Cricetulus griseus: one gene and its partners. The protein of the gene in region 1 interacts with the protein of each later gene in a pairwise test. Links are inferred from orthologs where the notes say so. Each region holds a gene or a part of one and is shown in the gene's direction. Other genes may lie near its edges.

The links.
Region 2: the proteins of Tsen54 (region 1) and Clp1 interact in binary tests that used the Homo sapiens proteins (3 or more experiments, as listed by UniProt). The link is inferred for Cricetulus griseus from reciprocal best matches to the Homo sapiens genes TSEN54 and CLP1.
Region 3: the proteins of Tsen54 (region 1) and Tsen2 interact in a two-hybrid assay, tested with the Homo sapiens proteins (2 studies listed by BioGRID and IntAct). The two-hybrid records come from large-scale screens. The link is inferred for Cricetulus griseus from reciprocal best matches to the Homo sapiens genes TSEN54 and TSEN2.

What each region holds. Positions count from the first base shown.
Region 1 is NC_048600.1:128,403,995-128,411,165, forward strand, and holds the end of Tsen54 (tRNA-splicing endonuclease subunit Sen54), read left to right. Parts: intron 1-288; coding exon 289-341; intron 342-2,426; coding exon 2,427-2,525; intron 2,526-2,669; coding exon 2,670-3,295; intron 3,296-3,928; coding exon 3,929-3,989; intron 3,990-4,286; coding exon 4,287-4,403; intron 4,404-4,844; coding exon 4,845-4,995; 3' UTR 4,996-5,308; downstream 5,309-7,171.
Region 2 is NC_048599.1:90,799,473-90,807,700, forward strand, and holds Clp1 (polyribonucleotide 5'-hydroxyl-kinase Clp1), read left to right. Parts: upstream 1-3,146; 5' UTR 3,147-3,272; intron 3,273-5,496; 5' UTR 5,497-5,518; coding exon 5,519-6,124; intron 6,125-6,778; coding exon 6,779-7,450; 3' UTR 7,451-7,844; downstream 7,845-8,228. UniProt on the Homo sapiens protein: Polynucleotide kinase that can phosphorylate the 5'-hydroxyl groups of double-stranded RNA (dsRNA), single-stranded RNA (ssRNA), double-stranded DNA (dsDNA) and double-stranded DNA:RNA hybrids. dsRNA is phosphorylated more efficiently than dsDNA, and the RNA component of a DNA:RNA hybrid is phosphorylated more efficiently than the DNA component.
Region 3 is NC_048601.1:29,320,013-29,328,305, reverse strand, and holds the start of Tsen2 (tRNA-splicing endonuclease subunit Sen2), read left to right. Parts: upstream 1-3,211; 5' UTR 3,212-3,299; intron 3,300-8,293.

The sequences.
Region 1 (7,171 bases):
AGCCAGGGCTATACAGAGAAACCCTGTCTCTCGGGGCAGGTGTGTGTGTGGGTGGGGGTGGGGGGAATGACGACGACAATAGGATGACAACAGAACCGATGGACAAATGGATATCTAAACCAGGTGTGGTAATATGTGTTGTAATTCTAGCACTTAGAGGTAGAGAGAGTAGTTTGAGGCCAGCCTGGTCTACATAATTCCAGGATAGCTAGGGCTGTGTAACAAAAACCTTTCAAACAAACATGCAACAGAAAGAGCATCTAAGATTTCCTTCTTTGTTCTCTTGAGGTCTTCAGCCACCTGAAGAGACTAGGCTATGTGGTTCGTCGGTTCCAGCTAAGGTAAGTCCTTCCTTTGATTCCCTTTCACTGTGTTCCTGGGACCTGGCCGACAAAGTTCTCATGTGAAAAGTGGCCTCCCCTTACCTGGGAGCTTTGGCTTCGGTGTGGCTTCGTGGGTCTGAGCTAAAGGTGTTCAACTGAGAGGCATGTGGAGATGAATTCCATCACTGCACCTTCTCCTGGGTTGTCAAACTGGGCCCCAGCTTGACAGATAGTGACCAAGTTCCTGCAGCTCACTGTGAGCATCGAGACATAGGGCTACACTAGCCAATGCCTGGCCTGTAGGTGTGCACTAACCAGTGCCTGGTGTGTAGGTGTGCAGGCCAGTTTGTGAGGCACGTTCATGAATGAGGAGCTGGTGAGGCATTTACAATTGAGGTGGGTTTCACATTGCTTATGCTGGGCCAGATCGCCCTTCATTACCTAGTGGTCCAGCTTTGCCGAACGCCACAGCCACTTTCAGACTTACAGCAGAAACTGTTGTAGCCTCTGCAGTTACACAGTCTGTCCCCAAAACTCTAAACCAGCTCCCCAGAGTGGTACGAGTCCTAGGAAGATGGGCATGGCTGTGTGCAGAAATCCGTCCCTCCTGAGAATATTCTGTTACTCTGGACATAGTATTACTGAGTACCTACTCATGCTAGGCCTGAACTCCATGGCTGAGGAAGAGCAGAAGAGTCACAGAACACCATCACTTTGCAAAATTGGTACTTGAAAGGCTTTAGGGCTCAGCAGTGCAGACCTACCACCACAACTGGTTTCTCATTTAAAGCAGTGCCATCACGTAGGTCTTATGTAGTAAACATGTCCTGGGCTGTAATGACAGCACTTAAAATTTCATTTCATAATTTTAATTGGTTTAGATTAAATTTAGTGAATAGATGCTGTGACTACTCACTGTATGGCACCTGAACTGTGCAAGCATTGGGAACTGTAAAAATTCATAGTGGCGATGTTGGGGAGACTCACTGCAAGTACAAGGACCTGAGTCCAGTCCCCAAAGACGGGTGTTTGTCTTTGTATTCTCAGCACTGGGGAGGCAGAGGCAGCCGGGTCCAGTCAGTGAGCTTCAAGCCAACTAGAGACCCCACCTCAAAAAAACGTGATAGACAGCTCCCAAGGAATAATACCCAAGGCTCTCCTGTCCTCTGCTATTCTCTCTCTCTCTCTCCCTCTTTCTCTCTCTATCTCCTCTCCTCCCCCTCTCTCCCCCTCTATCACACACTCCTCCCCCATTCCTCACAGCAGGGAAGAATGCTGTAAAGATAAGTGACAAGGGTCTGAGCCGACAATGTCTTAGTGAGGGGGGGGATATTTTAGAGTAGTGTGATAGTATCATGTCAGCTCTGGCAGGAAACAAAACAAAACCATACAGAGAAACAGTAGTATGTGCAAGAAATGAAAACGCACTGCATGTCGAGTGCTAGGGCAGCCAGGGCCACACAGAGACACTGTCTCAAACAAACAAACAAACACCCCAAATAAACAAAAAAGAAAGGAAAATGTCACCTGTGGAAATCCAAGGTTTTTGTTTTGTTTTGATTTGTTTTTTTTTTTTTTTTTCCGAGGCAGAGTTTTTCTATGTAGCCCTGATATCCTGGAACTTGATATTGTAGACCAGGCTGGTCTCGAAATCAGAGACCTACCTACCTCTGCCTCCTGAGTGCTGGGATTAGAGGCATGCACCACCACTGTCTGGCTCAAGGTGTTTGTTTTCATCTTTGTTTTTTTCTGTATTTTCCAAGTTTTCTATTGCCTCTTGGTTTTTCTCCCCAGTGATTGAAGATTGACTTGTTTCCTGTAGCACTGGGGTGTAGCCAGGGCCACACACCTCCGAACTCCTAGCCTGATTAGTCATGCATTGCCAGCTCTTTAGGAGTATGTGGTCAGAGGTGATATTGGTGATACTCAGGGGACCTGGGCAAATGGGTGACTAGGCCCTTGTGGCTGTTCCCAGGTACCCTTCCTTTGGGTATGGATCTGCCTTTGGCCTCTGACCGGCCTCTTGGCCACTCCCTCCCAAGCCCCTCAGGCAGCACCAGTCTGAGAGGGGATCTGTTGCCTGCCTGCTGTTCTCTCCCACAGCTCTGTCCTGTCACCTTATGAGAAGCAGCTTAACTTGGACGGCTATGCCCAATGCCTGGAGGACGGGACTGGCAAGAGGAAGAGGAGTTCCAGCTGTCGGTAATTTCCCCTGTTGTTGCCCCTCTCCCCAAAGGAGACTGGAATGTTCTCACAGGCTTGGGGAGACAGCAGGGGGTCCACCTCAATTCCAGTGAAACTGTAGCCAGGGACAAACATGCTGCTTTTCCTCCCTGTGTCTCTAAGGTCTGTTAATAAGAAGGCTAAGGCCCTGCAGAATTCCCTGCCACCCATGAGTCTGGCAGCCTCCAGTCCACCTGCCTGTGACCAGAATAACCAGTACCCAGAGAAGCCCCAGGAGTCAAGCCCCAGGAAGGGCTCAGGACTCTCCTTTCAGATTCAGGGGTCTTCAGAGCCTTGCCCTGCTCTGTCTAGGGAGGATGTGGGGTGTGGCCAAGAGAATGACACAATCCAGAATGGAGCCAAGGGGGCTCCTAAGGCACGCTGGAACTTTGAGCAGATCTCCTTCCCCAACATGGCTTCAGATAGCCGCCACACCCTCCTGCCTGCCCCAGCCCCAGAGCTGCTCCCGGCCAATGTCATTGGGCGAGGGACAGATGCTGAGTCCTGGTGCCAAAAGCTGAACCAGCGGAAGGAGAAGCTTTCCCGGAGAGACCGGGACCAGCAAGCATCGGTCCAGCAGTTCCGGGAGGATGTGAACGCAGATCCCGAGGTGCAGGGCTGCTCCAGCTGGCGGGAGTACAAGGAGCTGCTGCAGAGGCGACAGTTGCAGAAGAGCCAGCCCCGCCCTCCACACCTTTGGGGCCAGTCTGTTACTCCCTTGCTCAACCCTGATAAAGCAGATTCCCCAGGTATCTCTCCCCGCCCCCTGCTATACCCATAGGCCCCTGGGATCATAAGACTTGAAAAGGATGTTTTGACCAGGGTTGGCTGAGGCCTAAGGTATGAGAGGAGAAGACGGCAGTCAAGTGGGCCCAACACAGACTCTTCTGTAGGTCCCAGAAGAGCCCTAGGGGAAGGTTTTCTGATGATTTGTTACCCAGTGACACTTGTGGGGGATGAAGATTGTACCTGCATCCTTAAGATCATACCCAAGAATGCTGGATGGCTTTGCCAGCCGCCAGCTATGGGCCCGTCCCCTTCGCAGCCTGTTAGCAGGAACATGGTGGCACCAGAGTTTTCAGCCAAGTAAGAGGAAAGCTCAGTGTTTAAACACAAGGAGCTGAGTATGTGGCCTGAGCTAAGTGTAGTGCCAGGTTCAGAGCTCTCCAAAGGCATCATGGGAACATGGTAGATTGGGAGGTGAGTAGAGTAGGGTTACCAGGTAAGTGTGTTCTAAATACTGCTACTGTATGGGGCATACCTTAAACTAAACACCTGGTAAATCTGGTGGCCCTAACCTGATTAGCAGACTTGGCAGTATCACAGGAATGTGTAGGAAGTTGACTCCCGTTCTCTGCATCTTGCTTTCACTGCCCTTGTAGCCACGGTCCTTCAACACATCTCTGTGCTGCAGACAACACACCTTCCTGATGGAGGTTATGGGTGAGTCTCAGCTGTGCTCACTGTCTCCGTGACATTGGCTGCCAGGTAGAGCGACAGCTGGGGTTTGATGCCTGGAGTTGGGTGTGAGTCTGAGGATCACCCCAGGGACACCTGCCCACATACTTAGCTTCCAGTGGCAGCTACTGTCATGTGCGTCTAGGGGAAAGGAAGAGTGACAAGGTGGTGGCTATATCCCTGGTGAGGCTGTTTTGTAGAACTGGTCGTAGGAAAGGGTTTGGTGTAGAGGGAGGTGAGAGAAGACTGTCCTTGTCGTAACATTTCTTATTTGGTCCTCAGGCTGCTGGAGAAGTCCAGAGGCTTGGAGATCAGCTTCGACGTTTACCAGGCTGATGCTGTGGCTACGTTCCGAAAAAACAACCCTGGCAAACCCTATGTCCGAATGTGCGTTAGTGGGTACGAGATGATGGAGCAGAGTACCTCTGGCTGCCGCCAGCCCACCCCTTGATCCCTGCCACCATTTTGCCAGCTCCCGAGAAGGATCTGAAGTCCTGAAGATTAAGGGCCACCTATCTAAGGCCATGTGGCCAGTTGGTGCCATAGGAACCCAAGCTTCCAAACCCTCGGCTCCTTGTTACTGGCATCTGCTCTTTAGTCCTGGGCTCACTCAGCAGGAGGGAATGATGTGAGGGGTTTCCTGGCTAAGGGTGCTGACAGCCCATACCTGCTGTCCTCTACTCAGGCTCTCCTGAAGAGCCCATCAAAGCCATGGAGTTTGTAGACAGCAGAGCCCAGGGGCCAGTATCCCTAGCTTTTGTCTTACAGCCTTCTTGGCTTACACTCAGGGGGCCGTGGTTGGGCTATGGCTATGTCTCAGTTTAATGTTTATTCCTACAGATTTGATGAGCCTGTCCCAGACCTCTGCAGCCTCAAGCGGTTGACCTACCAGAGTGGGGATGTTCCCCTCATCTTTGCCCTGGTGGATCATGGTGACATCTCCTTCTATAGCTTCAGAGACTTCACACTGCCCAGGGATCTGGAGCACTGAATACACAGCTCTGGGGATTGGCCTTTTCTGGGGGACTTGGACTACTCTCAGGGACCACGTCGGCTGACTCCTGTACAGGACTCGGGCCTGGAACTGCCTAGGCCAATGTGGTCTACAGCTCTGGGGATCTGCTGTTTGTAGGGGAGTGAAGCCTTGCCCCATGCCCTCTTGCCTGACAGTGACCCCCTTGAAACTCAGGACTTGATTTCAGAGGCCCAGGAAATGGGGCAGAAGAGGACTCTGTGCCTTTAAACGGGGGTGCCTGCTTCGTGCCATAAAGCCAAAGCCATTAAAAGAGATATTTTCTGCTGTGGTTGGATCTACTTACTGGACTGACCCTTCCCCTCATTCCTGATTTGCCCACTCTGGGGGGAGGAGAGAGCCCGTGGGAGAGCATGGCCATGACTTTGAACACCGAGGTGTTGGGCTGAGGGATGCCCGAGGATGTCCTGTTTGTCCTAACTTGAGTGCAACTGGGTGGTGGCTGAGAGTCCCATGTTGGTTTGGATTGGACCCTAGCCACTCAGAGGTTCCTTCCCCGTGTTACTCCAAGCCTGTCCCTAGCTTGGACTAAAAACTAGCCTAGCTGCAGTGGATCTCCGGGCACCAGTCCACCTCTCTGAAGACGGAAGTGGGGGCTCCCAGCCGTGGGTAGGCGTCTTGACTCTAAGCCTTCCTTCCCATCCCGCCTACTCTTGGGTCTGAACCGTGCACCTGCCGGTCAGTCTAGTTAGAAACGCTCTTTTGAGGATGCCACGTAGCTGGACAGCTGCGGGAGGAACCTTTCCATCCTGGAGAGTACCCAGGGACTACTTCCTCTTCCAGGAGGTGGTGGGACCCTGGCAGCAGTGTGCAGACGTGTGACCAGGTGTGCGCAGGTGAGGGCGGGGTGGAGCTGACGGCACTAGGTGCGCCTCCTCGCTGCTGCCCCGCCCGCGCTGCTGGGGCCTCGATTGGCCAGAGCGCGGCCCCCGCCCTCCAGGGCTCCCAGGCGGCGCCCCCGCCCGGTCGGCTCAGCCTAGGGGGTGGGGCCGGGGGCGGGGCGCTGGCTCAGCAGGCTCGCCCTATATGTAAATCGAGGCGGCTCCGCCCCCCGCTCGCCGCGCCGGAGGTGAGCAGGAAGGAGACGGCCGCCCTGCAGCCCGTGGGCCGGCGCCGGGAACCGGAGCGGCGGGTGACGGGCGCCGAGGAACGCCGAGGCCTCGGGCAGGGCCCGGCCCGCGAGTGCAGGTGAGCCTACCTGGCTTTACGCGGCCCTCGGGGGCGCGGACCATTGGGGGCGGCGCGGCGCGGGGATCCGCGTCCCCTGGGCTTCCCCGGGCGGGTCGGAGAAGGCAGCGCCCAGGTCTGCCCTGCTCGCCCGGATCTCCGACGTTGGCTCGTCCCGGAGAAAAGGCACCTGTAGAAAGTGGCTCTGAGAACTTGTCTTTTCCTGTTTCGCCACACGGATTGCCAAACTTGGGACTCGGGTTTGCACAATCGCGTTGGCTTTCGGGAGCAGGGAACAGGTGTCTGGCCCGGCTGGGTGCGGGGGCACCGTGAGCGGACACCCGGTCCCGGACCCTCGAGCGAGGCCCCCGGACGCAGAGCCGGGCGGCTGCGCTCCCCGTGACCCGGCGTCCGGAGGAGCGCCTTACCTTGGCGGCTCAGCGCTCACCTCTGCCATCTGGGCGCTCTCCCTGCCCGCCCTTTGTGCCTCCTAATCCCCGACGCAGGAAGTCCGCCGTGGGACCTGGCGCCCTCGTGGACCGGGCGGGGACGGGGTCTCCCCACGGCCTTGGACACCCGTAGGCGACGGTGTTGAGACCCAGGCTGTTTACACTGATGGGTGGGGGTTTCCCTGGGGGACCCGGCAAGGAGTGGGAAATTCTTGCGGAAGAAAGTGTGCTGTGCTTTTACTCAGTCTGGACGGTGGATGGACACGTTGGGGCTTAGCTGTGGGAAGTGGCCGTAACTGGGGTAACCGCGATGCCCTCTTCGAGGGTTTTCACCTGCCACAGGTGACTTCCGGCACGGAGGGCGGGGCTTCGAGAACGCGCCCCTTCCCTTGGGGACCCTGACGTCCATGAGGCTCTGGGGACTCTGAGTTTGAGGCCATTCTGAGCCGGGAGAGAATGGGTGTGTCAGGGTAACAAGGAAATGTTTGTGGGAAGAGCCGAGCTGCGCTGCACGGCCG
Region 2 (8,228 bases), on another chromosome or scaffold:
AAAGATGACCTTCAGGTAACTGGGAGACATTGCCTTAAGGGAGTGTGTGGTGGCAAAGAAGACTCAGGAGAATGAGTTCCAGAGAAAGAGGATGAGTTCCTTTGGGAGGTTAGAAGTTTGCTAATGGAAGTCTAATGCTAAAATTCTGAAGAGTGGTAAAGGATCAGACCAATAGCTCATTGAAAAGCTAATGTTTCATGGTGAATGAATGAAATAACTAAAGCAAATCCCTGAAGAAAACTGAGAGGTAACACCTCACCTGCCTGAAAACAGTATTAAATAGGACCAGTAAGAAAAAGGTAGACCAGAAAGCTACCCTACACTCTCAGTCTAAATTCATCAGGTGGGCTAGAATGAGGAAAGTATTCACTTGCATTAAGGCAGCAGGTCTCCAGTTTGAGGCCAGCCTGGCCTACAGAGTGAGATCCAGGACAGCCAGGCCTACACAACACAGTGAAACCCTGTTTCAAACAAAACAAAACAACAACAACAACAAAAACAAACCAAACAGGGATCTGAAAAGATGGCTTGGCTGTCGAGAGCAAAGTGGCTATAACTGTAGTTCCAGGAGATCTGATGTCTTCTGACCTAGGAGGGGGATCAAGAATGCATGTGATGCGCATACATACATGCCAGCAAAACAATCATATACATAAAATATGCTGGGTGGTGGTGGCACATGCCTTTAATCCCAGAAAGCAGAGGCAGGTGGATCTCTGTGAGTTTGAGGACAGCCTGGTCTACAGACCAAGTTCCAGGACAGCCAGAGCTGTTACACAGAGAAGCCCCCTGAAATACAAAAACCAAAACAACAACAAAACAGTATGGGGGGGTGGTTGGAGAGATGGCTCATGGGATGGGTTACGGGCATTTGCTGCACTTGTAGAGGTCCATTGATTTCCAGCACAGGGCTGCTCACAACAGTCCTTAACTCCATTTCCAGGAGATTCGACATGTCTTCTGACCTCTACTAGCATGAAGCATGAGTGTGGTCCACATATAGGCACAACACTTGTACACATAAATCTTAAAAAAAAAAGTCAGTGAGCCAGTGGTGGCACATGCCTTTAGTTCCAGCTGAGAAAGATGGATCTCTTTAAGTTCCATTCCAGGTTGGTCTAGGACCAAGTGAGTTCAAGGACAGCCAAGGCTACACAAGAAACCCTGTCTTGAAAATCAAAACAACAGTAACAAAAAAGAGAAAGTTAGAAGGAAGAAAAACAGTAGCTGTAAAATGGGAGTGATGGTTATAACTACTGCACAGGGTTCTAGCTGGAGTTCAATGAATGCATGCCCTTTGCACCTGTGCAGCCATGGAACAAGCCCTAACAGCTCACACTATGTAATTGTTTGCCTGTTATAAGTTGATCCAGCTCCCTAAGTTCTTGGTTTGGATCTGTTTTAGTTATCTTTCTCATTGCTATAATCAAATACTTGACAAAAAGCAACTGAAAGAGGTTTTTATTTGGACACGTGGTTCAGGAGATGGAGTCCATCAGCACAGGGAAGGATCAGCAGTAGAAACAATTTGCAGCTGTGGTGTTGAAACCTTGCTCACATTTGGGCAGATCAGGAAGCAGACAAAGTGGAATGCTGGTGCTTAGGTGGCTTTTTCCTTTTCCTCTTCTGACTCAGTCCAGGACCCCAGCCCCTGGAATGGGGCTGCCCACATTCAGGGTGAATCTTTCCTCTTCTGTTACATTTTTCTGGAATCTTTTCACAGACACACCCCAAAATGTGCCCCATTGGTGTCCAAAGTGTTTACTAATCCAATCAAATTGACAAATGAAATTAATCATCAAAAAACCGACCTCTAAGCCTCCTAGTGGTGCACTCTTTAAAACCCAGCACTCTGGAGGCAAAAGTAGGTGGATCTCTACTAATAACTAAATGGGCAAATGCCTCTTATCTTCCTCCCCAAATGAAACTGGAGATAATATACCTACCTGTTTTTGAGGGTGTTGTGACATAAGACACCTGGAGGAACTGGAAAAATGTAAAAGCATGGTATATGAATAGATGAGATTATTATAGTCTCTCTAGCCTATAATAAAATTAAAGGTTAACATCAGATACTTGCTATATTATAGGCAATGTGCTTAGTGCTTTACATGTATCTCATCCAATCTTCAAAACAACTTTAAGAGGTTGAATACTGTTATTATTCCCATTTTACAGACAAGAGACATTTCAGGGAAAGAAGCCTGTGATTTATCCAGTCAAGCAGTGAGCCAACCATACAAGATTCCAAAGGCCATGCTCATGAAAAGTGTATTATAGACATGGTGGAACCAGTTAGCAGTGTGTAAATGATTGACCTTGTGTAACTGTCTGATTTACATAGAGAAACAATCCAGAATCTGGAAGAGGTTGATGGATAATGACTGGTTTATAAGTTTAATGGGAGCTGGGCGTTGGTGGCGCACGCCTTTAATCCCAGCACTCGGGAGGCAGAGGCAGGCGGATCCCTGCCTCGAAAAACCAAAAAAAAATTTAATGGGAAAAAAACCACTGGGCTTTTATTCTACCTTTACTAAAGGGGAAAAACAAACAAACAAACAAAACCCAAAAAAACCCAACAGACATCCTGGTTTGGTGACTCAAATCTGTAAATTCCAGCATTTAGGAGGCAGGAGAAATCACCGCGAGTCCGGGATTGGCTAGTCTGGGCTACAGTTGAACCGGGGTGGGGTGGGGGTGGGGTAAAAAACAATTTACACTTGGTTCCTTCTCTATGTTCGGCACCGACAGGCAGAGGTTGTCAGCTCTGTGTAGCCTCAAAGGGGGACTGTTTCTATTTCCCTCTGCCTAGGTCTCCTGCTTACGCTAGGTTTTGCTAACTTCCCCACTTTCTGGCTTGTGGTCTAGGCGAGCAGAGGATCCAGACAGAGAGGCCTCTCCCCTTTCTGGTAGCCCTTAGCTTTCCTGGACAGCAGATGGGGAGAGACCATGTAAATGCCTTCCGCGCGTGGGCGCACCAGCAACGCCTCCTCTCCGCCTCCAGCGGTCTTCCCGCACAAAGTGACGGCGTTGCCCCGCCCACCTCGCGCGTCACGGCACAATTCTCGAACTACAACTTCCAGAGGGCTGAGCGTCGACGCGCGCTCACTCAGCCCAACTACATGTCCCAAGAGGCATTACGCGACCGCGCTTCCTCCCATCGCGCAAGAGCGGAACCGCATTTGCTTTCCGGCTGCTCTCTAAGTGGTCGTTGTGCTGGAGTCCTGTCCGAAGGCTTCTGCTACCCTGATTTAGGACCTGTGGTTGTGCAGGTAAGGACCCCAATTCAGTTCTGCGAGGCCTTGGCAGATTTCTGTGTTGGAACTAACTGCGACAAATACTGGACCTGGAAGTGCGGTTTAGAATCAGAGTAACTAACGTTTCTTTGCTAGCGCCTAATTTACGGTGTTTCATTTTGTTTTTCCTACTGTGGTAGCTGTTAACAGCACTGTTAGGTGAGGACGTGTAAATTCCCACCAAATGACAGCTGATGAGTTTGTTGAGGTGTTGATTGAATTAAAGTAGCTATTGGAGTTTCAGAGCTTGACATACAACTGTTTTCTTAGTCCGAACCCTGTGTGCTGTACTTTGCACACTATTCAGAGTCTAGTTTTTTTTTTGGCTGAGAGTTGGAGAGAGGGCATCTGTTATTTCTTTCCCGATAGGGTGATGGAAGGAAGACAACGCAGTAAGTTTCCTGTTAGTTACATTTTTATTATAACCTAGTCATTCATTCACTCAGTTTTCTGTTGAGGTGCACTGCTGTTCTATCTACTAGAGATAGAGTAGCAAACAAAAACACCTCTACCTTCTAATTGTGGGGAGACCCGCAAACAAAACCCAGCGAGTCGGAAGGCAATAAGAACTCCGCAGAAAAAAGATAAAGGGATGAAACCAATGGAAGATTTTGAACGATGGCCTGACTATTATAGATGACTATTAATCTGTATTTTTTAAATTATACATTACTTTTCTTTTGTTTTGTTTTGTTTTTTGAGACAGGCTGGTTTGCATTTTTAATGAGTTGTATAAACACAATAACCCAAACGAGTAGAAACATACATATAGTATAACAAAAATTAACTTTAAATTTGTATCGATATTAAAAAATCCATACCAATGTAAAATATTTAAGACTAGCAGTTGCTTTTTTGGTTTAAAAGTAGATTCAATAGCCGGGCGTTGGTGGCACACGCCTTTAATCCCAGCACTTGGGAGGCAGAGGCAGGCGGATCTCTGTGAGTTCCAGACCAGCCTGGTCTACAAGAGCGAGTGCCAGGGTAGGCTCCAAAGCTACACAGAGAAACCCTGTCTCCGAAAAAAAAAAAAAAAAAAAGGATTCAATAATCTCCCCCTTTCAGAAAGAGATCTTTCAATCTAATCTCCTTTGTTCAGCTTTTTTCCTGACCATTACAAATAACAGCTTGTAACCAACCTCCCTTAAATGATAATAAATAGCCCATCTTTTGGGAATTTGGGCATAGTTCTTTAAAATACATTGGCTGGGTGGTGGTGGCACACGCCTTTAATCCCAGCACTTGGGAGGCAGAGGCAGGCGGATCTCTGAGTTTCACACCAGCCTGATCTACAAGAGCTAGTTCTAGGACAGCCTCCAAAGCCACAGAGACACCCTGTCTCGAAAAACCGATATATATATATTGGCCGATAGCTCAGGCTTGTTATTAACTAGCTCTTACAATTTAACCCATTTCTGTTAATCTGTGTGTTGTCCCAAGGCTCATGGCTTTTACCCCTCCCCATTTTGTGTGTCTAACTCATTGTGCTTCTGGCTCCTTGTGACTCCTCTGACTCTGCCCTTCCTATTCCTATAGATATATAGATATAGATAGATATAGATTCAACCAATATATATATATATATATATATATATATATATATATATATATAGCAATATATATATATATATGTTGAATCTAGCAGTTTTCATAATCCAGTGTCTCTTAAGGAGGCAAAAAATTCAAAGACAACACAATAACCGACTGTCTTGTATTTTCTTTTTTAAAAAAATTTTTTTTGGTTAAAGGCATGTGCCACCATCGCCCAGCATGTTTAGCACCTTTTTAAAGAAGCTTTTTCAGGCTTTATGTGAATGTAAGTGACCCTAGATGTTTGTGCCATTTGTTGGCAGAAGTTTTTGTCCCATCAGCAGCTCCCAAATAAACACAAAGAAGCTTAATATTAATTATAAATGCTTGGCCGATAGCTCAGGCTTGTTACTAACTAGATCTTACAACTTAACCCATTTCTGTTAATCTGTGTGCTGTCCCAAGGCTCATGGCTTTTACCCCTACCCCATTTTGTGTGTCTAACTCATTGTGCTTCTGGCTCCTTGTGACTCCTCTGACTCTGCCCTTCCTATTCCCAGCATTCTCCCTTATTAACAATGAGAATAATACATATTTACAGTGTGCAAAGATTGTTGCATAGCAATGGCCTTATGTAATGATTTAATCTAATGTTTAATTTGGGTTCTAGGCACAGCAGCTATACAGAAAAAATGAGTGAGGAATCCAATGATGACAAGAAGCCAACAACTAAATTTGAACTAGAGCGAGAAACAGAGCTTCGATTTGAGGTGGAAGCATCTCAGTCAGTTCAACTGGAATTGTTGGCTGGCATGGCAGAGATCTTTGGCACAGAGCTTACCAGAAACAAGAAATTCACCTTTGATGCTGGTGCCAAGGTGGCTGTTTTCACTTGGCATGGCTGTTCTCTGCAACTGAGTGGCCGGACCGAGGTGGCTTATGTCTCTAAGGACACCCCTATGTTGCTTTACCTCAACACTCATACAGCCTTGGAGCAGATGCGGAGGCAGGCAGAAAAGGAAGAAGAGAGAGGCCCCCGAGTGATGGTAGTGGGTCCTACTGATGTGGGCAAGTCCACAGTGTGTCGACTGCTACTCAACTATGCAGTGCGTTTGGGCCGCCGCCCTACCTATGTGGAGCTGGATGTGGGTCAGGGCTCTGTGTCCATCCCTGGTACCATGGGAGCCCTCTATATTGAACGGCCGGCAGATGTGGAAGAAGGTTTCTCCATCCAGGCCCCTCTTGTATATCATTTTGGCTCCACCACTCCTGGCACCAACATCAAGCTTTATAATAAGGTCAGAGCTGGAGCTAAGATGGGGTAGAGGGAAAAATTAAATCAGGGTAGGAAGTAGGGTAGCACTGGGAGGCAGAGGCAGGTGGATCTCTGTGAGTTCCAGGCCAGCCTGGTCTCCAGAGTGAGTGCCAGGATAGGCTCCAAAGCTACACAGAGAAACCTTGTCTCGAAAAAACAAAACAACAACAACAAAAAAAAAAAAACTGAAGAATTTTTGCCCCTAGTTAATTGCTTTGAATTTAGAAGAAACCCTTGTAAACTTAAGCCAGCCTCAGACTGCTACACTTTTTGTGGCCCTATTCTTTTTTTTTTCCCCTAGGAAACTAAGGATTTTTATACTTTATTTATTTATTTGGGTTTTTCGAGACAGGGTTTCTCTAGCCCTGTCAGTCCTGGAACTTGCTCTCTAGACCAGTTTGGCCTTGAACTCGGAGTTCAGGCTGCCTCTAACTCTAGAGTGCTGGGATTAAAGGTGTTTGCCACCACTGCCCACATGACAGTTTAGAACTGTTTGTAACTTCAGTTCCAGAGAATCTGACACCCTCACGGACATCCATGCAGGCAAAACACTAAATCAGTGCATGTAAAATAAAAACAAGTAAATAATATAGGCAAATTTATCTGTTTTTTTGTTCTCATTTTGATTCTTTTCCAGATTACATCACGTTTAGCCGATGTGTTCAACCAAAGGTGTGAAGTGAACAGAAGGGCTTCTGTGAGTGGCTGTGTCATTAACACCTGTGGTTGGGTCAAGAGCTCTGGTTACCAGGCCCTGGTGCATGCAGCTTCCGCCTTTGAAGTGGACGTGGTTGTGGTTCTGGATCAAGAACGACTGTACAACGAATTGAAAAGGGACCTGCCTCATTTTGTTCGAACTGTGTTGCTTCCAAAATCAGGGGGCGTGGTAGAACGCTCCAAGGACTTCCGGCGGGAATGTAGGGATGAGCGTATCCGTGAGTATTTCTATGGATTCCGAGGCTGTTTCTATCCCCATGCCTTCAATGTCAAATTTTCTGATGTGAAAATCTACAAAGTTGGGGCACCAACCATCCCAGACTCCTGTTTACCTCTGGGCATGTCTCAGGAAGACAATCAGCTCAAGTTAGTACCTGTCACCCCTGGCAGAGATATGGTACACCATCTCCTGAGTGTCAGCACTGCTGAGGGAACAGAGGAGAACCTTTCTGAGACAAGTGTGGCTGGATTCATTGTCGTGACCAGTGTGGATCTGGAACACCAGGTGTTTACTGTACTGTCTCCAGCACCCCGTCCACTGCCTAAGAACTTTCTTCTCATCATGGATATCCGGTTCATGGATCTCAAGTAATAATTAGCAAGGAGCCTCCCTTTCTGGATCATAGACAACTGGCCATCACCAAAAGCAGATGGGATGAGATTTGGGAAGATTTATTAAGGAACAACTAGTAGAAAGCACATGCTCTACCTCTTAAGACAATGGTAGTAGCCAGACTCTTGTAACTCTGAACCAAAAGGAGAAACTACAAAAGGAAAATTTGATTATTTTTTTAAGATTGCCCTAGGTGCCACTTTAAATATTCCAAGACCTTGGAGAATTCCATGTCTTCCACTGTGCTACCATGAAAGGTTTTTTGTTACTGCTTTCTAGTCCATATAGTTCTTGTTATATAACCAGGGTAAAAGTGAGATAAAGTTCAAACTTATAAACAATTATTTTAATAAATATCATTAAGTTGATGTGACTCTATTTTAATTTTACTTTTCTACCTAAGCATTATAGAAACTATAGGAATGATTTATTGCTGAAAAGCTGTGAGGAGAACCTACTTGTGATCCGAGCATGTTATGTTGTGTCGCGTCCCTGTCCTGTCTCCCCCTCCCCCTCCAAGAAAGGGTTTTGCTGTGTAGCTTTGTTGTCTTGGAACTCACTCTGTAGACTAGGCAGGCCTCAAACTAACAGAGATCTAGCCTGCCTCTCCCTCCTGAGTACTGGGATTAAAGATGTGCACCACCATGCCTGGCTGCCAAGCATATTTTTATAATGGTACCCTCTTGCTTCACACTTAGATGGTAACCTGTTTTTAGTGCTGGGTGTACTTGGAGATAAGAAACTAGTGATAATCTTG
Region 3 (8,293 bases), on another chromosome or scaffold:
AAGCTCCACAAATGGTTGTCTTCCCAAGGATACTTTTAAATATTTTTAAAACCACAAATAAAACTTGGTATGTATATATATATATATATATATATATATATATATGTGTGTGTGTGTGTGTGTGTGTGTGTGTGTGTGTATACATATATTTTACATATACATATGTATATCCCAGATACATATTTTAGAACGCATACACATACCTCACATACAAATACACTCAGTCAACTGGCATACTGATGGTTGGTTTTATACTATGGGAGACAATGTACATGTGTGCAGGTGCATATATGTGTGGGGATATTCAGAGACCAGAGGACAACCCCGGATGCCATCTTCAGGAATGCCATCTACCTCCTTTGACACATGGCCTCTCACTGGCCTGGAGAGCACCAATTAGGATAGACTGGCCCAGAGAGCCTACATGCTCAGCAGCTTCACATGGGTTCTGGTGACTGAACGCAGGTCCTCATGCTTGTGAAGCAAGTCTGTGTCCGCTGAACGATTTTCCTGGCCCCTATTGGTGATTTTAATCAACTTAGACCCCTGTCCTAGGAGACAGGGACCAGTCTCTATGCAAGTCCTACCGCCACAAATGAGTCTATAGCCTTCATGGGGACAGTCACTGTGCCCATGCGTTTTCTGTCACTATGACCCAATACCTGAATTAATCGTCTTATATGAAAAAAAGGTTCATTTAGGTTCATAGCTTCAGACGTTGTAACCTATGTTTGGTTGCCCCCGTTGCATCTGAGCTGTGGCAAGGCAGGACACACTGGTGGGGGTCATGCAATGCTTGCAAAAGAGCAGGGAGGAGAGGTTAAGGGCCCACTGTCCCTACGTGCCTGTTATTTTACTCATTGCTCTGGCAAGACACCTGACAAAAGCAACTTAAGGAAAGACAGATTCCTCTTGATTCACAATTCACAGTTACAGTCCACGTGGTGAGGCAGGCATGGCAGCAGAGCGCAAGACAGCTGCTTACACTGCAGCGGCAGTCCGTGAACAACTATGAAGGCTGATGCTCAGCTATCGAGTTTCCTTTTTATTCATGCCGGGACCCCAGCCTATGAGATGGTGCCACCCACATTGAGAGTGGCTAACCTAATCTAGATAATTGCTCACAGATGTGCCTGGAGACTTGTCTCTATGGTGATTCTACACCCTGTCAAGGTGGGAATTATCACCTATCAGTCTCCATAGGCATATCCCCAGTGACCTAGCTTCCTCCCTCTAAACCCACCCCTTAAAGGTTCCATCAGGGTCCATCATTTCCCTAGAATATATAGTTGTAGAAACACACTGGGAAGACTAGAACAGAAGGGTTAAGTGGAGAGCAGAAGGAAGATGGGGGATAAGGGAAAGAATACCCGGAGGGATAACTTACACTAAGGGCCACAAGAAGGGTTATATATAAACCTACCACTGTGGAAGTGTCTTAAAATATATACATATCTGAAATAAATCTAAATCGACTTGGAAAATAACAAGGAAGATGATGTCCCAGCTGAACATCTTTTGCCACCAAGTGAAACATCCAGTGCCAGAAATGGGTTACATCTAACTGAGTTGTTGACCAAAGGAACCCATAGAAACCCCTAAACAACTTAAGATGTTGCTCAGGCTACTGACTGCTTTGCACAAATTAATGATACAGCTCTTTATTTTACTAAAAAAACAATACACACACACACACACACATATATATATATACTACAGCTTTCACCCCTTCTGACTAGTGTTCATTGTACTGGAAGGTACTCTACATGCTACCAGGGGAGACAGGTAAACATCAACCCAGCTACAAACCCTGCAATCTATAATGGTGTCCTGCCTGCATAAAACAATGCAGCAATGGAGTATCCAACCACCATCTGCTTGGATTTAAGGCCCACTCCATGAAACGAAACCAATGCCTGACACTGCAAATGTTGACAAGAACCTGAGACTAGATAGACTGTAGATTTAAGGGAAAACCAAATACTATTGTTTTCCTAAAGGAGCATAGCAATAAAACGACTCCTAATGACATAGTGCTATGCCCATAGATCAGTGTCTCACTCAGCCATCATCCCTTGCAGTAGATGGGCGCAAATTCAGAGACCCACAGCTGGACAGCACACAGAGAATGAGCGACTTTGGAGCACTCGTTCCTAAATGGAATGTATTCATCAAACCTCTCCCCTCAGGGCTCAGGGAGCTATGCGGAAGAGGAGCAGAAAGATTGTAAGCGCCAGAGGGAATGGATGACATCACGGAAACTGTGTCTTCCAGACACAAGAGGACTGACGCACATATGAACTCATGGAGACTGTGGCAGTGTGCACAGGGCCTGCACAGCCTCAAGACAGATGGGATCCCAGAATGAGAGGGGGAGGTGGATGCAATCTCCCATCCCTAATCAAGAAGCTGTCTCCAATTGACAACTACTCGCAAAGGAAAAAGTCACTTTCCTAAAATAGTCTCACTGGGTATTTAAGCCACACTTAAGGGCAGACCCCATGCCCAGAAGTGGATGGCCAACACAAAACAAACTCAACAATATTTTTATAGATTTTTTTGTTTCATATTGCTTTGAGCACCTTTTTATACTACAGGTCTTTTACTTTTGTACTATGGTTTCTGATTTTGTGTAGTTATGGGTTTTGTCTGTGTGTGTATTTCTTATGCTTCCTCTTTTTTTTATTCTGTTTTTGTTTTTGCCTGTTTGTTTTCTAAAAGGAGAGAAAGGCATGGAGTTGGATAGGTGGGGAGGCAGAAAGGATCTGGGAGGACATGAGGTAGGGGAAATTGTGATCAGAATACATTGTTGAATTTTCAATTAAAATAAAAATATCATAATGAAACCTACAAGTAGGATAAAAACAGATTCCATCATTTCCCAGTAGCTCTGCTCTGGAGACCAAGCCTCAACACATGACCCCTGGGAACATACCAGAGCCAAACTGTATCAGCCATTGTCTTCTGAACCCATACATCTGCCTAACATGGCGCCCAGCACATGCCGTTGGATATGTCAAAGCCCAGTGTAAATGTCCCCACCTCACAGAAGCCACCCTAGATTTATTATCTCCATTACCATGTTCTTGAGTCTGTGTCCCCCTAGCACTCTGAACCAACCTATGTTGGGATATATCAGGCAAAGGGGAATCTAGTTTTGTGGCCAAGGAAAGCCAGGCCTAGCCTCACACACCTCTCCGTCACATTCTAGCTGTGTGGCCTTGGACAGACGCCACAGCCTCTTTGGCCCTCCACATCCTGTGTTGTAAAATAGGAATGATGACCCCTTTCCTCTCAAGGTGAGTGGAATGCTGTGCTGGTTGTCTCTGAGAATCCACAGACACAAGTCCGAGTCATCGTTATTACCTTACTGTGAGGATACCGTGTGGATACTCTTCTGACAGTTCTGTCTCACCAGGTATGGCTATTATAAGAGGCCCAAAGGAGGACATAGGACTTGGCCTCTACAGGGCATCTATGTCAGCCATCACTCCATGGGGGCAAGGCTTGCTGTACATGGCCCATCTGAGGCTGGTAACAGCCCCCTGCAGAGGTGATCACATCTCCACCATCCTTACTGAGGGCTGGGCTAAAGCTCAGAGAGGTGATATGATATAACTAGCTGAAAGCTGCACAGCAAGGAAGAGTTCGAGCTAGGATTCCAACCCAGGTCTCTGGGAAGAGCCTCATTTGCATACTGTCCACCAGTACTATCACATTCATCTCTGTATCTCACAACCTAGCATGCAATGATGCCTGCAGATTGATGGTCCCAGAGATACCCCCATCCAAGAACCATGACCTTCCAGCTGCATCCCTTGTGTGTAGACAGGAGTCCCTTTATCCAAAGTTTGATGCAGATGACCACACTGGCAAAGCTGTGTGCCTGCTGGAACTGGCTGCAGTGTGATTCTGTCACCTCCAGGCCTTTGCTTAGTTCTGAGACCTTCTTCTTGCTTGGGTTATCTAGGGAGGGGAGGAAGTGGCTCCTCACTTCTGTGGACAATGCTCATGTCTCTTTACAATTCATCTTATTACAGGAGAAAAGTCAAGAGAGAATAAATTAATCCATTGCCACTTATTCATTTCAAAATGAGGAAGGGGGGATTTGAAACAAGCAGAGGAGCTCAGCCTAAGCCTGACCACCCAGAGATGGTACCTTCATGAAAGACACCCCCAATTTAGCTCTTCCTGTCTAAGTCCACACGCACATAATTTTAACCAAGGTTCTGTTTGAAATCCTGCTCCATCCTCTTAAACTGCTTTGGTTGTTACTCTCAGCTTTTTTCTGTTTTATTTTTTGAGATGGGGTCTCATGTAGACCAGGCTAGTCCCAAAATTGCTATGCAGCCAAGGATAACCTTGAACTCCTGATTCCACCTGCTTCTACCTTCCAAGTGTTAAAATTACAGGTATGGATCACCACACCTGGCTTAAAATTTTTGGTGTGTTAAGAATGATTCCAGCCAGGCATGATGGCACATACCTGTGATCCCAGTAGTGGGGGAGGAACAGTGGGGTGATTTCTTTAAGTTCTGTGCCAGCCTAGGCTATATAGACAGACTGTGTCTAATAATAATAATCATAATAATTAATCCCTGCCTATTTTAGACATACCACACACTGAAGCAACCAGGATGAGTGTATACAGCTGTGGCTGATCTCAAGCAATTCCTCCACAGTCAGTTCTGTGCCTATGTAAATCAGAGAACACCTGAGCATAAAAATGAGCACATTAAGAGTTTGTCTTTAAAATGTGTGTGTGTGTGTGTGTGTGTGTGTGTGTGTGTGTGTGTGTGTGTGTGTGTGAGTGAGTGTGTTCCTTCTAGCTCAGATAGGCTTATATCTGGGGTGGGGCACCAGGAAACTGAATGAGGGTCTCTCATGACCCTTCCCCCATGGTGCTTGGCCATAGCTCCCACTAGTCACTCAGTGGCAGAGTTTTGTCCCTGAAGGTCACACCCAAGTGGGGAACAGGTATTTTCCAGGGTCTCCATTCTCCTGTGTGTATCCCAGGTCTGTGTCACCAACAGCAGCTCAGTGACTTTCAGGCCCACCCCATCCTTCCTCCCCATCTCTGAGCTGCCTAGCCTAGAGCAGCCCACCTCTGTTACCATGGGAACAGAGTGGATGCTGGGAATTCTCCCCTTGGGTGAATTCTCCCACTTTCTTGGGCCTTTAACACTCATAAAAACAAATCAGAAATTGCCAGGTTTGGAGTTATAGGCCAAACTCAGGGGCCATTCCAATTCCTAATGGCAAATTAATGAGATCCTGCCTCAAATAATTTAAAAAGTATTAAAGGGCTGCTGGAGGGAGCTAAAAGACAACTCAGAGTAAAGTGTTTGCTGCAGAAGTGGAAGGAACAAGTTTAGACCCTCAGGACCCATGGAAAAGAAGAGTGGGCATTGTAGCCTCCTGTGACCCCATCCACAGAATACCCAGAGCAAGCTGGCTAGGCTGACTAGAAACACCATGAGCTCTGAGTTCAGCAAGAGACCCTGCCTCACCTCAGGAGGTGAGAAGAGATGGGCAAAGACACCTAGCATTAACCTCTGGCCTCTACACGCATGGGCACATATGTAGACAAATACCCACACACATGTAAACACACACACAAGAGGGGATACAAAGAAGTGATAGGAAGCCTACCTAGCATGCAGGAGGCCCTAGGTTCAATCCCTGGTACCATTTTATTAAAAAAAAAGAGGTCAAAATGATGCGTACACACAGACTCCTGGCAAGAACATCAGCCTGCACTGAATAGGAGATGCCCACATGGCTTTGTGATGCTCCCTCCCCTTTCTCCATCCTTCTCCATCACCAGCCATGGTTATTCCCTTCCTGCCGGCCTGGCTCAACTCTTTTGAGACCTTAGGCTATAGGATGAAGGATCTTAGGATCCCAAGAGGGGAACGTGAGCTACCGCTATCTACGCTAAGCTGGGTCATGTAGCGTGAATGTTCGTCCCCAAAGGTCTCTGCTTTGTGAACTCCTTCCCAGGGCAGTGGTGTGGTGAGGTGCGGCTGGTGTGAAATGCTGTTCTCTAAGGATAACAACCACTACCATCCTCATCAGAGCAACTTGTGACCACTTGCCACCCTCAAAATCAGGCCTGTTGTCATTCCCCTCACAGAAGGAGAGGGTGGTGAGACCCTAGTCTCGGGAGGTATTAGGGTCCATCGATGTGGAAGGCTCTCTGAAGGGTGTTCCATCTATGCACTTACAGAGAAGTGGTCAGTTAGGGTGTGGGGAGACTTCACAGTGATACAGCTGTGGGGGGGGGGTCACCTGAACCCCTGTAAGTGGCCCTCTTACCTGTGCTCTGTAACTAAACCCAATGAACTCGTTGGGTTGCCAAGCTGGACTTGAATGGAGCCATTGCTTTAGTCTGTCACTGATGCCCTTGTCGGGGGTGACACAAGTTTGTTCATGTGTCAGCAGAGACAAGAGCCTTTAGAAGTGATTTAGGTCATGAGGGCTCTACCCCAGCAGGGGTATTTAGTTTATTATAGGAGGGACTTCCTAATGGAAAGATCAGTTTGCCCCATGCTCTCCCTTCCCCGCTCCCTCTCCCCATCCCCTGTCTCTCTCCCTTTCCAAGTGATATTCTCCAACACATTATGACACAGCACAAACCCTCACCTGGTTCACCCCCTAGATCTTGCACCTTCCAGCTTTCAGAACCTTCTGTTACTCATAAGCAATCCAGCTTTGGGTATTCCATCATAGCAACTGAAACCAAATTACAACAGAGAGCATTAACATGCCATGGGTTCAGGTTCCATGTCTGTCTTGGCCCTGCCTGAGCTGAAGCAGCTCTCCACCAAAAGCCACACAGCCAAGTAGTGGCTGTCTAGTTCAGCATCCCACCTCCACCAGCACAGTGTGGAAGTCCCTGCCAGGATGCACCAGCTGCCAGGGCAGCAAGGGTGAACCTGATGCCTTTGACTCCAGCAGGATAATGGGGAAGCCAGGAGAGGCTGTGTTCTCCTTTTCCATAGCTATGGTAGGTGGACACGCAGCTGGCAGGCAGCCGGACAGCCGGAGTCTGGGCATAAAAGACGGAGGCTTAAGACTCTCTGGTCTGGAATTCTGCCCTTTCCTCATGTTACCACCTGACATGAGGCAATCAGACATCTCCCCATGAAGGCAGGACTTGAACAAGTCATCTGTCTCCAGGAGACGCCTTCCCCACAGGGGCTCTTGATTCGTGGCCGTCCCCTCCCCTTCTACCTAATGTCTAATGTCAGACAGGCATCCTTGGATGCCTTACTCCTTAAGTCACAACCACACTGAAGCACCTTCAGTGTCTCCTATGTACTCCATGATAACAGCAAAACGTCTCATCCTTCAAGACCCTCACTATCTAATTTCAGATGCCCCCCAAAATCTAGCCAAACAAAGCCTGGCCCAGCTGTCTGTCCTCCTCAGCTTCCCCTATGTTTCTTTGACTCTCATCCTCAGCAAAAGTCAACCTCAGCTACCACAGGACTTTGTCCTGACCCTAGACTGTGACCCTCTTGGGGGTGTGTAACAAGTCTTTCTGCCAACGCCCCCCCCCCAACCCTGTCATGGCCTGGCATAAGGTGGATTTATCCCTCCATTCTCAATGGCCTGAGTTCTGAAGGCACCAAGGAAGCAACTTCTCTACTTACAATGAAGGCCTAGCAACTATCTAGCACTTTCCTCCAAACGGTTCGTGAATTCAAGTTTGCTGAGCATAGAAGGCAGAGCTCTACAGTGTGTGGCATGTAATTCACTCAGCTTCCTGGGAGCAGTGTTCCTCAGACACACAGCCCCACCTCTGACCTCCCAGTGCAAGGAGAGACCTTAGTCTACCTGAGAGTGTTTGGAGGGACCCTTCCAGATGAAGCACTCACACCCTCTTCACTGAATTTTATTTCTTATCTGTTAGGAGTCATGGCAGCCACATAAATAACTTTGGACAAAATGACAAAGAGCATACAGGCAGGTGGCATCGTGGTAAGTTCCTTCCTTCCTTCCTTCCTTTCGGGCGTGTGGCCTCATCAAGCCTCCACCCCACTATACCCCTCCTGTCTGGACGAGAGGGGAAGCAGCCCCCAGTTGCTGAGGAGATGCGTGTGTTGTGGGCTCTTGGGAAATGCTGGGGCCAGGGAGGAGGGAGCAGCCGGCCATGGCAGGCGCCTGAAGCAAGCTCCCGGCAGTTGCTCCATCCACAGAACAGGGCGATGAGGCCCCAGGGTGGGGCATTGCATCACATTCTTAGAAAGCTGTCTCTGTACCCACATTTCCATCTGGGGCCCGGACT